2 linked regions of the Pelodiscus sinensis genome follow. The protein of the gene in region 1 interacts with the protein of each later gene in a biochemical or structural test. Links are inferred from orthologs where the notes say so. Each region holds a gene or a part of one and is shown on either strand. Other genes may lie near its edges.

Region 1 (7,096 bases):
TGCCTCCCAAATCAAAAAGAACCAATAGTGATCTCTTTCTTCTACTGCAATCTGTAGGAGAGATGGCTTGATTAGTTGGGCTGTGTTACTCTGTGGTGTATGTGAGGCATATGGGCATTCTTTTCTGGGAGTGAGTTCCACAATCTAGGGCCAGCTCTTGTGAAAATTCTGTGTCCCAATTTCAAGCCTCCGCCCCACGACTGGAAAGCAGCTTCCTCATTCCAGTGGAATGCAGCTGTTGCAGGAGTTCATGGTCACTGAAAGAACAGGTGATCCCATAAGTATCTAGGGTCAGTTCCATGGAGTACTTAGAATATCAACCAGGAGACCTGGAAATGTACTCCATATTCATCAAGGAGCCAGTGCTGAGACAGAAGCCGTAGAATGATGTACTTATGGCAGTCTCTGTTGCTGAGCAGATGAACTGCTGCATTTTGTGTCAGCTAAAGATTTTTCAGGCTATGTGGCTTCATTACTAGGAATAATGGATAGCAATAATCAAGGTTGGAAGTCACAAATATGTGGCTCACGATGGCCAAGCCCAATACTGTTTAAGGAGTAGAGTCTTCTTGCCAGTTGCAGCTGGAAGTAAGCAGTTTTTGTCTCATGGCTATTTGGACATCCAGTAGCAATGAAGAAACTGAAAGGACCTCAAAATGGTAGGCCAACAGGAAGATCTTAAATAAGAGAAGCTACTTGTTGAATACATTGTGTTACAATAGGTACAATAGGTCTACCTATCAATTGTCTTTTTTTTCTGTTAGAAAAACCACAGATATTTAAAAAAATGTGTTAACCTGATAGTTTCTGTGGCCTAGCAAGCCTTGTATTTAAAAAGGCCAGATTCTACATCCGTGTGATGCAAGCCTCCCACTGAAATCACCTAATTCAATGAGGGTTGGCAAACGCAGTTTGAAGTGCAGGTATGAATCTTCCTTTCCCTGTGGGCCACATCCTTCCTTCCCAGACAGGCACACACATCTGCTCCAAGTAGCTGGCTTGATGCAAGCTTGGGAAGGGAGGCAAGGATGTCTCTGCAGTGATCAGGTTGCAGTTGTTTTTAACATTTTGGAGTTGCAATAGCACCTACTGTGTCTGGGTCCCAAATGTGTGAGGGGCCCTGGCCCATGTTTGTTATCTGAAAGACAATGCTAGTACTGCAGTACAGCCTCAGCCAGTATTCCATCTGGCACAGCATCTCCTCACTCACTTTCAACACTGGATAGTTTAGGTCCTACTGTGGGATTCCTGAAAGCCCCAGTGCTACCAGCTGAGCTATCATACAGCTATATTAGGTGTAAGTAGCTGATCCAAACTGACTGCACTGAGCACTTTTTTATGCTCAAGTTAAACTAAGTTGCATTGCTGGCGCAGAAATGAGTCACCGCTGTAAAATTTCTTCTCTGTCTGCTGTTTAGACCGGATGCATTGTAGGCGTTAGAAAGAGGACAGGAAGAGCTGGTCTCTGCACATGTGATCTAAGGGTCACCATAGGTTACATTTTTAGGATATGAAGAAGAATGAAGTCTGTGCACACTGGGCCAGATTCTCTTACCCTTACTCATGCTAAGTAGCACCTCATTCCTCCAACAACCCCAATAAAATCAATGGGGCTGCTCTGTGAGTCCAGAACTCAACTTGAATAAAGGGTGTAAGAATCTGCCACAAGTGACTAAGCTTTTTATGACATATCTAATCTTAGTCGTGCTTAAAATACAGCGTGTTCATTGCTTTTCGGGAGATTCCCCATAATTGCATTGGGTTTGAAATCTGGATTTTAACAGCTTACCTGCCAGCTAAATGTTTCCCTACAGCTCATACATCTGTTGTGTCAGGGTTGGATAGTCATGATGTAATAACAAGACAAATATCACTTGAAGAGCACTACTCAGGCCAAACTGCCATTTGCTCAGACAAACTCTCACTGAAATTAAAACTCAGAATAGACCTCAGGATTTGACCTCACGTGTTTTCTGGTTCTTAGCACGAGAGCAGATTTGTTTGATTTTTAAGAAATAAGATTTCATTCTATTGCACTTTCTTTTCAGAGGTGGAATGGTTCAGACCAGTGAACAATATGAATTTGTGCACCATGCACTGAGTCTGTATGAAAGTCGACTCGCTGAAGAAGCAGTCCAGTGAAACCACGAAGGGGGACCAGAATGTCAGTCTCTTGAGGTAATTTGTTTCATTACCTACCAGCAACTTCGTCAAGGAGTTTACTACAGTGGAGAGAGGTGCTTTGACGCCAACTTGTGAAAGGACTATGGATGGTTTGGCAAAACTATAAAGATAGCCAGACACTTACTGTATATGAATATATTGTAAGCATCCTGAAATGATTTTTAAAGAAGGTACTATACTGATGCTACATGTGGATTTCACGTATATATCTAAAAGGTGGATTTATTACTGTAATAATATCTGCTATACAGAACGTATGTATGTGCTACGGCTGCAGTCAGATGGAAATTGGAACTTCTTCAGAAGAAATGTTTTTCTAAGTGTATAAATGCTTTAACATTTGCCAACTCTGTCTTGTGAATGGACTGTCAGCTGTTAAACTGTACCTGTTAAGTGCTATTACCTATTATGTGGTGAGCTTATTTCTTGGCCACATAAAACTCTTGCTGCTAAAGTTGCAAGTGATTAATTATGGATTTAAGAAGAAAAGTCCTTTTGTTTTGGAAACTGTTCAAAAGCGGTTATCTTTTATATGGAAATATCTGTTCTTCATACTATTTAGCTATTTAATGCATATTTATAATAAGTCCTATAATGCAGTGACAGAGCACAACCTCTGTTATTCAATGTATATGTATGTAATTACTCTATACTGTTGATTGTACTCTATACTGTTAGAAACTGCTTCTGTTCCTGACCTGAATCCAGTGTATTTGTAAACTGTATGAGTCATTTTACTTTTAAAGGAAACTTTATAGCATATATTCAATGGTAAGGATTTTAAATATTTGCCCATCTTTCACTAAGAGTGGATTTTTTGAATATGTTATCTCCCTGTTGTATCACTTCTGTTAAGAGATGGATGCCTTTGGAAAGAGGAGCTGTTCTGTTACAGGAAGTTATACAAAAAAATGTTTTTATGAATGTTTCCTTATATTTCTGCAAAGATTTGTTCATTAAGAGAAATGTAAATCTAGCATAACTACTTACAGCAACTAGGATTAAATCAGTTTTTAATTCAGTGATGTTGACTTTGCTTCATACTGACAATAAACTACCCTTGATACAAAATAGTTAGTGCATCTGGAGGTTTATTGCCTACAGTAAGTAACCATTACCATTATCATGATACCCTGATAAGGCAAATATAGCCCAATCTGCTCTAGTTAATTCTATGCTGGCTTCTGGCCATTTGGAGGTCAAATCTTTGAGGCCTTTACCCAGCTTTTCATTAAGGCAAACTCTCACTGTATGTAGGCAACATGGATCAGACAATGTTGACGAAAAGTCAACATAATTTGATCCCATAGTGGGAGTGTACAATGAGAAGAACTCATAGATTAGTACTCCCACAATATTATAGTTTTCAGAACTCACAGAGGAGTTGGAAATGATATCTAATAATGTGATTTTGCTTGATGGACTCGCAACATATTCTAGAAACTGTGAATGGTGAAAAATTGATAGGCTAGTATGTATTTATTCATCACTAGCCAAACCACATTCAGCCATGGAATGTTTTATGAGTGGTCAGTTACATGAAATTACAATCTCTGTTCCTTATATTTTTAATCCAGCACTTTATTCAGATGTTGAAGCATGTTTTTTATTTGTGTGTGAGCGAGCACTGGTAGTTTCAAAATCTATCCCCTTTTTGCTTGGGTTTTTCCAAAATAAATCAGAGTCTGTAAACTCTGAAGAATCATATGAAAGGACAAACTGGTATGAAATTCCCCAAAACTATTGAATAGAAGGAAATGCTCGTCACTGACTTTTCCTCCTGTGAAGGCACATTTCCTTCCTAGCCTTCACTTCACTTATCTGAGGTGGTGATTTTGTGTGTGTGTGTGTGTGTGTGTGTTGCGTGTGTGTGTGTGTGGTTTTTTTTAAACAGAAGCATGGGGAGTTGTTAGCTGGAAAATGGATCCCTTACTTCATGTCCTGATTTTTACCTTCCTGGCCTTCAAGATCTCAGGTAAGCACATCGCCCGGTGTCTATCCTCCATTCCAGTTCCCATTGTGTCACTAACCAGGGCTCCTAAGGGTTGTTGAAACTTATTCAGTGCTGTGGAAATGGAGCCACTTCTCAGCCTGAGTTTATATAAGAGAGATGGAGGGGGAGGGCTGGGCCAACAAAGCCCGTACTGTTTAGATTTCTCTCCAAAGGAAAATAAACGGTCTCTCCTTGAATACCTTTTAAAAAATATCTTCAACTAGACAGTTCTGAGGCAGAATCCTGAGCTAGATTTCTTTGAAGAGAGATTCAGATTACTTAGTAAGGCTTTGTGAAACTTACCAAACCTAAAGCTTCTATGGGCACTTAGAACAGTTTTATGTCCTACGCCATAAAAAAGTGTGAATGAAGAAACAAAAGAAGTTACGTGTTTTGTTTTTAAATGATTTTGTTTATCGAGTGGAGCCTTAAGTTTTGATGAATTAACTGACTTGCAATAAAACGTGATCAATGAAATGAGAGTCAAATTGAGATTGCTAGTGAACCTTCCAATTCTGTTCTTAATAACAAATGGGCTTTTGGGGTTGGGGAAATTTGATTTCAATGAATGATTTTTTCTTCTCTTCATTTTATCATTGGCTCTATACATATAAACTGGGATAATAAAAGAATCAATCTGATCTATAGTGAGATAGTTACAAAGTAATGACTGGAGGAGTCAATGTATTTAGGTGTGTAAGATACACAGAGTTCATATCAGTCAAAAGTTCCCATCCTTTTTCACACAGCACACAGATGTTGTTCTGTCACCCTCCTCCACCAAATACTAAGATTTGTTTTAAAAAATCAATTTCCAGTTATGTACAGTGAATTTAATTTAAGGTGAGAGTAAGGAAGGCTAATGGATCTCTGTGTATTGGAAGAGGAGGGACAGGGTTTTCAGAAGTGAAGTGAAAGTCAATAACCCATATTTTAATTCAAGTTAGATTTCTTTTGTTTTTAAGTAGAAAGTCAGGGTTTGTTGCATTCTCTCTCTTCGCATTTCCCTGACCAAACAATTGTGATTTTGTGCCTTTTAAAATAATTTCTGCTGGTGCCAGTCATAAAAAGCTGAGATACACAGAAAGTGGGAAAGAAAAAAGGAGGATTATTTTGAAGTCATTGGGATTCATTTTTAAATGCCACATATGATTTGCTGCATTTTTATGGGTTTTTCATCTTCCAGGAGGGTTTCTGATTATCCATGTCCAGAAACAGCAATGCCTTTTTAGAGGCAAAACAGCGTTAGTGAGCAACTGCAATCTGACGGATCCAAACCAGCAGTGGATGTGGACAGACTATGAGAAACTTCTCCATGTTAAATCTGGCCAGTGTTTGGGCATCTCCAAGTCCTCTGCTGCATCATCCCGCAGCATCTTCATAGACTGCCCTCAGGCACCCAGCTGGACCTGCCACAAAAAGGAAGGCCTCCTCCAGGTGGCAAATAGCTCTCTCTTTCTCTCCAAACAAGGCCCGAAGGTAATGATCAAGATGGGTAAGAAATACCCTCATAGCTGGAAGCAAATAAGTATCGACGACAAAGGAAACTCTACCTATGAAAATCTGTGTCCACACAAAGGTGAGCTTCTCCTTTCAGGCAGTGTCTTGGTAATTATGGTAACAATCCTGTCTCTCTTGCACCCACTCTCACTTTAAGAAAAATTACATTTTCTCCTGGGAGCTTAAAAGATTGCTCAGAATCCAAAATCAGAGTACCTTAAAAAGAATAATTTTAAGACAGCCATGATACCTGACTTTCTAAAATTTAGTGGGTTGCTCTAGTTATCTGGTTGATATTTGGGGCCCAAATTTGTATGTATAGACTTAATCCCACCAGATTCTTGTGCTATTTGCTTCCCAAAAAGAGAAGAATATAATTTTAGTGCTGCTTTCAATACCAACATCAAACTCTCCAGATCCTCTTCCTCATCCACTTTATAGACATGCATATTTAAAAAAATATACCAAAAGGGGCACAAGTCATCTGAAAAATTGGATAGATGTAGTACTACTTCACTGATAACCTGAATGTTTGTTCCCAATGAACAAATAGCCTACATATTCCATTGCTCATGAAGTAGCATCACTATACCAATATGGGAAATAATCCTGGTAACAAATACAAAATTCACAGTGTAATGAACTGAATCCAAATCTTTGGAAATACTAATTTTAAGATGCATTTTCCTGTGTGTTTACCTTCGTACATGGTAAGTATTTATATACAGTTGTAGAAGCTATTTTATGTTTAGCTAGAAGCCATCTTGTATATCAGAAACCATTTCAGCTTTTCTCTCAAGCACGTAGACCAGAGTGAACTTTCTGTCACCCCGTGAGAAGAGGCCTACAGGACGGGCTATTGGTATGTGTTAATTGGGCTGGTTGGGACAGGAGATGTACTCCCTCGTACCTGTACGCCATCTTGTTGATAAGGCTTTGTTTTTCCAAATTTAATTGAGGATTTCTGTAATTGGATGCCCTGACGTCAGACTGTTTGGCTAAGGGTATAAAGATACTAGGATTGATTGTATTAGCAGCCTTACTGGGCCCGGCTCTGCTGTGACCACGTTTGGCTCATGCTGTGCTTTATTAATTAATAAAGCTGTTTGTTAGCTGCCTAAACACAGAGGAGCGTGTTTTTGCTTCGACACAGTTATAACATAAAATGTGGCTAGAAAGGATCTGAGTGTTGTTTAATAATATGTTCACAACTCTTGTTTTGGGGTCTGTTAAAGTATGTCTACACTGCGGCACTATTTTGGGATACTACCAGTATCCTCAAATAGCGTTTTCTGCGTCTTGACAGCACGTCCATTACTTCAAAATGTAATCGAAATAACGGGCGCGCTATTCTGATGTCCCGGTAAACTTCATTCCACAAGGGTTATGGGACTTGTCAGAATAACAGTTTATTTCATA
Region 2 (7,301 bases), about 13 Mb from region 1:
TGGAAAAATCTGTGTATTGTGGTGCTATGCATCTGTCGGTACTGTGTATTTTAAGTGACGTTTCTAAGTAGGATTGAAGATCCAAGATAAAATGGCCTTTGAACCCAGCACATGGCTGCACTGGCCCTGATCCTTGCTTTGCTGGAGGATCATTTTGCATTACTCAGTCACGGCCAACCATAGGTGGATCATCCCTTCACTGAACACACCTGTTGTCAGTGCAGAGGAGCAGGGCCAGGGAAATAAGGGTATGGATGTGCCACAGCAATGTTCAGCATCACACCTTCGGGGCCATGGAGAAATGGCATGAGAGCAGTTGTCAGGCTGTATTAATTTCTGACAATTAGATAGCCTAAGATCAGTCACTTTCGCATCCCCTTCTGAATCAGACTGTGCATTCCTCGGCTGTAGTCTGGATGGTCTCCTTCTCTCTATTTCTTGCTTCAATTTTATTTTAAATTACAGAATGTCTTCCCTGGGAAACGTATTCAGGAACTCTTCCTATCATAGTTCTGTCTGTTGTAGCACTTATTTGTTATTTATAGGAAACAATCTCTTTAAATGTACACCAACAGGACAAAATGCCAGACCCTAAGAATTTCTGTAAAAAGTTTACATTGTTCTCAGAGAGTAATCATCTGGAATTCTTATACCTAATTACACAACTTTGAATTTAGGCTTTGGTGTGAATAATTTCAGCTTTTAAAACCAGTCACGTGACAGAATTCTGGAATCCCCAGATGCCTATGGGGCACTGTCAGCTGACGGTCAGGGCAGTGTGTGTGTGTGTGTGTGTGTGTGTGTGTGTGTGTGTTTCCGAGAAAAGGTTTAACGTCCGTGTCTTTACTGCTAGGACCGGGGTCCCATCGCAGAGGGTGGCCAGCAGGCCAACAGACGCCCCGTTATATAGGAAGAGCTTATTACACCTTAGATTTTAGCTGCTAGAACACAAAGTTCCTTCGCAGCGGGCAGCCTGGGAAAGGCTGAAAAGGTGCCCCAACGGATCTTGTCACCTGGGAGTGACACAGATCCAAATGCCCAAGCTCTCCCTATGTCTGTCCCTTTATGACCGGCTGAAGTTCTTTTAAATTGTGCTTGGTTCTATTACAGCAACTGAAGGAGTCAGGTTAAAGCTTAAACAGTTACAGGTTTATTAAAAGACTTATAAAAGCATATGGTTACAATGGCTATTGCTCTATTTCATAATTATTAGCAAAATACAGATCTTAAAATGGTTACAGGAAAAAGGTAAAGATAGAAAATAGAAATAATGGTACCAAATGACAGCTTAATCTTTAAAGAGCTCTAACACTATGTATATATATACTTAAACAAAGGACCACATCCAGGTACAATTTTTACCCCTTTCTGTGCCTCTCGACTCCAGCGTGTCAGGCCAGGGCCAGTCTCTCAATTCCTAGGAAAGACGAATACGAGGTGGGCGTCCCCTTGGAACCTCGGGAGATCAAACACCTAACCCAACCAGCAGATAGATGGTAGATTGACACTCAGAGAAAATGCGCTGCTGGACCCATCTTTATACCCCTGGGGGCCCGTATCCTCTTTCTTATCTAAGATGCCGAATTGTACTGGTCCATTTTGTGGCGCCAGTTCTTACAAGCAAGTTTCAAGTTAATTTACACTTGCAAGAGAGATAACTAAATTGTGAATACTAGACATTTTTTTACTGGGCGAGAGATTCCTCCCCCCCGCGGGCGGCTGAGTGTTCGTATCAGTATGGGTTTGAGTCAAGGGCACTCCTTGGCAGCCTCTTGGTTAGCAATTGGCATATCTCTGTTTACAGCCATTCACGGTCACAGCAGCCTGGGCCTTCTGCTCTGTGTGCCCTGGATGCTCCAGGCAAGCAAAAATGGATGTTACAAGGGGGGTTCCTGTCTGGCTAGAGGCACTGAAGAAATAAACAAACATAAAGATAAACTATTAGTTAACCTTTTCTGTGAAGCTTCAGTTAAAATAGTAAGCAGCCAGTAAGTAAGTACTGGTTCCTGCAACATTACTTATGGGAGTAGTTCCTTTGACTTTTTATGAGATGGGAGTGCTCATGTCTGTAAGGGTTTACAAGGTTACTACCTATATTTTAGTTAGCATGGAAGTGATTTAAAATGACCAAATATCATTAGAAAATTCTGAAATTTAGTTGCTTAGCAGCAGATTTTGCAGGAGGCATAATAATTTTATTTGTGAGGCATTTCAACAGTGGGCTCATTCCATCCGTTCCTGCTCTATCCAAAGTGTTGATGACTTTTAGGGAGTTTTAGTTGTCCATGGCTTTCAGACTAAAATGTGGTAATGTTGCACAAGGATTTCATTGTAGCTGCAAAGCATGAACATCCAAAATATTTCTAATGCTATTATATAATGAATGATTGTTTTTCCATGGTAAGGATATTTGTTTTTTCATAGACTGTGGCATTTAATAGCTGTTGTATAAACAGTAGCATTTGCAACTTGAGTTCTCTCTACACATCTTCCCTGTCTCACCTCCAATGGCCTAGAGGCATTTTGACAAAACATTTCTGAGAAAACTGCTGGGCCTGATGCATTATCTCTGGTTATCCAGATGAAGTTCCTTCAGCTCAGTTTCCCAGGTCACCTAACTTATCTGATCAAGATTTTCTGCCAGAAATCCCAATAAAATGCCTATCAGCATATAAAGTGCATGTATTCTCTTTGATATCAGAACAATCTCCTGCTAATGTTCAATTAACTTATCAAAAACTTCCAAGGGTTTCACACTGGCATTGTGTATGTTTTCAGGGGTATGCAGGAAAGGGAGACAAAGAGGATATTTGTCAGGCCCGGTCTACACTGCAGATTTGAGTCAATGGAGGGCAGCTTATGTCAACCTAATTGTATAAGCATCTAAACCAAAACGCAGTTTCCATCAATGTAACTCACCCACTATGCTGACTTAATAACTCTACATCCATGAGAGGCAGTGTTTTGTTCCATATAGCTGGGTTGATGCAGTGTCAGGGTGGACGCTGTATTATTTACATTGACTTTAGTGGTCTCCAGGAGCTCCTAGAATCATAAAACCATAGGGTTGAAAGTGACCTCAGGAGGTCATTGAGTCCAACTCCTTGCTAAAAGCAGGACCTATCCCAATGAAATCACCCAGGCAGGGCTTTGTTAAGCCAGGATTTAAAAAACCACTAGAGATGGAGATCCCACCATCTCCCCAGGTAACCCATTCATTCCAGTGTTTCTCCACCCTCCTAGTGAGATGTCCCATAATGGCCCATCATAGCAAATGTCTAGCTGACCATGAAGGCTCTACACTGCAAACATGCTCCTGGCTGAAGAATACAGAGGTATTGGTTCTTCCGGGTCTGTGGGGAGAAGAGGCCATGCAGGCACAGCTCTGATACTGCTGTAGAAATGTTGACATCTATGAGCATATTGCTCAGAGCATGGGGAAGTAGGGCTATGAGAGGGAAATACAGCAGTGCTGTGTGAAAATCAAGGAGCTGCAGCAAGCATAACAGAAGTCAGGAGTCAAACAGTTGCTTTGGTGCAGAGCCATAGACCTGATGTTTTTATTCGGAGCTGCATACCATCCTCAGCACCTTGTACTGAACCCTGAGGATGAGGTGCTGGATGCAGAAGTGGAGGAGGGCAGGGGGGATCCAGTGTCACTGCAATCCAGGATCACTTTTTTGATTCCTGAATACTTGAGCGACTACCAGCAGTCCAGCACTGGTGCAGGTGGAAGGAATCTCTGGTAAATATGCTGTTTATTTTGAAATGGCAAGGGTACATCTGTTCATTTATTCTTTTTTAATCATGCTGCAAAGGGATAGTGAAATAATCAATAGAGTATTGCTATTTGCTTCTCAAGATTTAGACAGAGGGAACCTGGCAGAGATGTTTGTTTATGTGCAACAGGATGGTCTGTGAATGCTGGAGGGGAATCAGTAATCCTTTGCCAAAGGTTTCTGGAGAGGACTGCCTTATTTCTTCCGCTGTGGTAAGACACTTTCCTACACCCTTCAGAAATTACTTCAGCAGGCATCATTGCAATATGCAGATTACCACAGTATGTTCCTGGTCCGCAGCCAGATGCGTGCAGGAGTTGTTCCATTTTAGCCTCAGCAATCCTCAGGAGTGAGATATTAGCTAACGTCATCACTGTCTGTGGAAAATGGTGCCAGTATTCAGTTAGTATTCTGTTCAATTACCATGTCTTTGTATATTCTTGCCTGTGAGTTCCCCCCCCTTTATTGTCTGAGGTTCCCCACCCTCAGACACAAGTTACAAGCACTCACATGTCTGCCTGGGATTCATTGCACACAACAGCATTCCCAGCCATGATGAGTGCTCTATCGAGGTGAGTGATTGTACTCCCAAGAGTACCCCTGTCTATTGTTTCTTTTGCAGCTGACAATGTGTCTTTGAGGGTCTCTCCAAGTATGCCACTAGAGTGGCTCAGCGAGAGAAAGAGGAGAAAGAACAGAACAGGAGAAGACATGTTACAGGAAATCCTACAAGCCTCTGGTGCTTCACAGACAGAGCAGAGGGCTTGGAGAATGGCACACAAGGACAGAATGGACAGGAGAAACAGGAAACAAGAGATGATACCACTTGTCAGGGAGCAAATAGACATACTGCAGTTTCTGGTTGACCTTTAGATGCAACAGATCTGTGCTTGCTTCCCCCTGCAGCCCATAGTGAACTTAATTCTGGCACCTCCCCCTACCATGCGGTGTCTAGGGCCAGTGTAATACCCCTAACCATCCATTCCCAGGTACAGTATAGATCGGGGTGGAGCAATAATTTTTGGTGGGAGGCCACTCCAAGATTTTGGTAAGTGGTCAAGAGCCGCACTTCTGTGGAGAGGGTGCAGGTCCTGGGACATTGGTTGGGTACAGAAGGGAGATTGGGGTAGGAGACGGAGGTTCAGGAGAGGCTGTGAGGTCTGAGAGGGAGTAGGTGAAGGAGGGGGTTGTGATCTGGGGCAGAGGATTGGGGTGCAGGGTCAAGGAGGGGGATTTGACCTGGAGGAGGGGTACAGGAGGGGGTGCAGGCTCCATGTGCCACTCTGCATGGGGTACCCCTGGCGGAGGGTGGAGGGAGACTTCACACACTGCCCCTACCCCCAGGCCAATCATTGCATTGGTTTCTGGCCAATGGGAGCTACAATGACTGGCCCAGGGGTGAGGGCAGTGCATAAAATCTCGCCTCCTCCACCTCCGTGTCAGCCGGTGGCCGGGGTAGTGTGTGGTCTGTGAGCCCTATGATACCTGAGTCTTCAACTGCTAGGACAGAGTCCCTTCACAGCGGGCAGCCAGAAGAGGCTGACAGGTGCCCCAAAGTTTTACACCCGAGTCTTTGGCTGCTAGGACAGGGTCCCTTTGCAGCGGGCAGCCAGGAGAGGTTGACTGGTGCCCCAGGTTGGTGCAGAGAGAGTTTATTACACCTGAGTTTTTAGCTGCTAGGACAAAAGTCCCTTCGCAGCAGGCAGCCAGGAGAGGCTGATGGGTGCCCCAAGGGTCTGCCCTGTGGAGGCGGCAGAACCCCAATGCCCAGCTCTTACTGCGTCTACCGGCTAGTTCTTTTGATCGTGTCTGGTTCTGATACAGCAACAGAAGGAGTCAGGTTAAAGCTTAAACAGTTACAGGTTTATTAAAGAGACTTATAAGCATACGGTTACAGTGACTATTGTTCTACTTCTTAACTGCTAGCAAATACAGATCTTAAAATGGTTGCAAAGGAAAAGGAAGATAAAATAACGGTACCAAGTGACAGCTTAATCTTTAAAGAACTCTATTCTATGCATGCACTAAAACAAAAGGACACATAAAGATACAATTTTTACCCCCTTCTGCATCTCTCGATTCCAGCGTGTCAGGCCAGGATTGGTCACTCAATTCCTCAGAAAGATGAATACGAGGATGGGCATCCCCGTGTGGACCTTGGGAGACAATAACATAACCCGACCAGCAGGTAGATGGTAGATTGATGCTCAGAGTGAGTGTGCTGCTGGGCCCATCTTTATACCCGTGGGGTCACGTATTCTCTTTCTTATCTATGGTGCCAAATTGTGCTGGTTCGTCTTTGCGACGCCAGTTCTTACAAGGGAGTTGTGAACTTAATTTACACTTGTAAGAGAGATAACTAAATTGGGAGTACTGGACATTCTTTACTCAGCAAAATGCAGGACAATGTAGCACTTTAAAGACTAACAAGATGATTTATTAGATGATGAGCTTTCGTGGGCCAGACCCACTTCCTCAGATCAAATAGTGGAAGAAAGTAGTCACAACCATATATACCAAAGGATACAATTTAAAAAAAATGAACAAATATGAAAAGGACAAATCACATTGCAGAACAGAAGGGGGATGCGGGGGGGTGGGAAGGGGGAGGAAAGAAGGTAAGTGTCTGTGAATTGCTGATATTAAAGGTAGGGAGAGTGGGATGTTTGTGAGTTAATGGTATTACAGGTGATAATTGGGGAAACTGTCTTGGTAATGGGTGAGAAAGTTCAAAGACTTGTTAAGTCCTTGTTGGTAAGTGTCGAATTTTAACATGAATGACAGTTCAGAGGATTCCCTTTCAAGTGCAGATGTAAAAGGTCTTTGTAGCAGAATGCAGGTGGCTAAGTCACCTGCATTCTGCTACAAAGACCTTTTACATCTGCACTTGAAAGGGAATCCTCTGAACTGTCATTCATGTTAAAATTCGACACTTACCAACAAGGACTTAACAAGTCTTTGAACTTTCTCACCCATTACCAAGACAGTTTCCCCAATTATCACCTGTAATACCATTAACTCACAAACATCCCACTCTCCCTACCTTTAATATCAGCAATTCACAGACACTTACCTTCCTTCCTCCCCCTTCCCACCCCCCCGCATCCCCCTTCTGTTCTGCAATGTGATTTGTCCTTTTCATATTTGTTCATTTTTTTTAAATTGTATCCTTTGGTATATATGGTTGTGACTACTTTCTTCCACTATTTGATCTGAGGAAGTGGGTCTGGCCCACGAAAGCTCATCATCTAATAAACCATCTTGTTAGTCTTTAAAGTGCTACATTGTCCTGCATTTTGCTTCAACTACCCCAGACTAACACGGCTACATTTCTATCACTTTACTCAGCAAGAGATTCCTCTCCCGGGATGGTTGTGTGCTTGTATCAACATAGGTGCCAACCAAGGGCAGTTTCTGCAGCCTCTTGGTCAGTGATTGGCTTGTGTTATCTGTGTTTACAGTTATCTCTCTTATCTGTGTTTACAGTTATCCAGGGTCACAGCAGCCAGCATATTTGGGCCT

What was found.
Region 2: the proteins of PTPRB (region 1) and CNTN1 form a complex in vitro, tested with the Homo sapiens proteins (2 studies listed by BioGRID). The link is inferred for Pelodiscus sinensis from reciprocal best matches to the Homo sapiens genes PTPRB and CNTN1.

The regions. Positions count from the first base shown.
Region 1 is NC_134711.1:64,675,727-64,682,822, reverse strand, and holds the start of PTPRB (receptor-type tyrosine-protein phosphatase beta), read left to right. Parts: upstream 1-4,006; 5' UTR 4,007-4,104; coding exon 4,105-4,159; intron 4,160-5,363; coding exon 5,364-5,756; intron 5,757-7,096. Other genes in the region: PTPRR (receptor-type tyrosine-protein phosphatase R), read left to right, coding at 2,049-2,142. UniProt on the Homo sapiens protein: Plays an important role in blood vessel remodeling and angiogenesis. Not necessary for the initial formation of blood vessels, but is essential for their maintenance and remodeling. Can induce dephosphorylation of TEK/TIE2, CDH5/VE-cadherin and KDR/VEGFR-2.
Region 2 is NC_134711.1:52,062,047-52,069,347, forward strand, and holds the start of CNTN1 (contactin-1), read left to right. Parts: upstream 1-4,298; 5' UTR 4,299-4,351; intron 4,352-5,839; exon of another isoform or gene 5,840-5,976; intron 5,977-7,301. UniProt on the Homo sapiens protein: Contactins mediate cell surface interactions during nervous system development.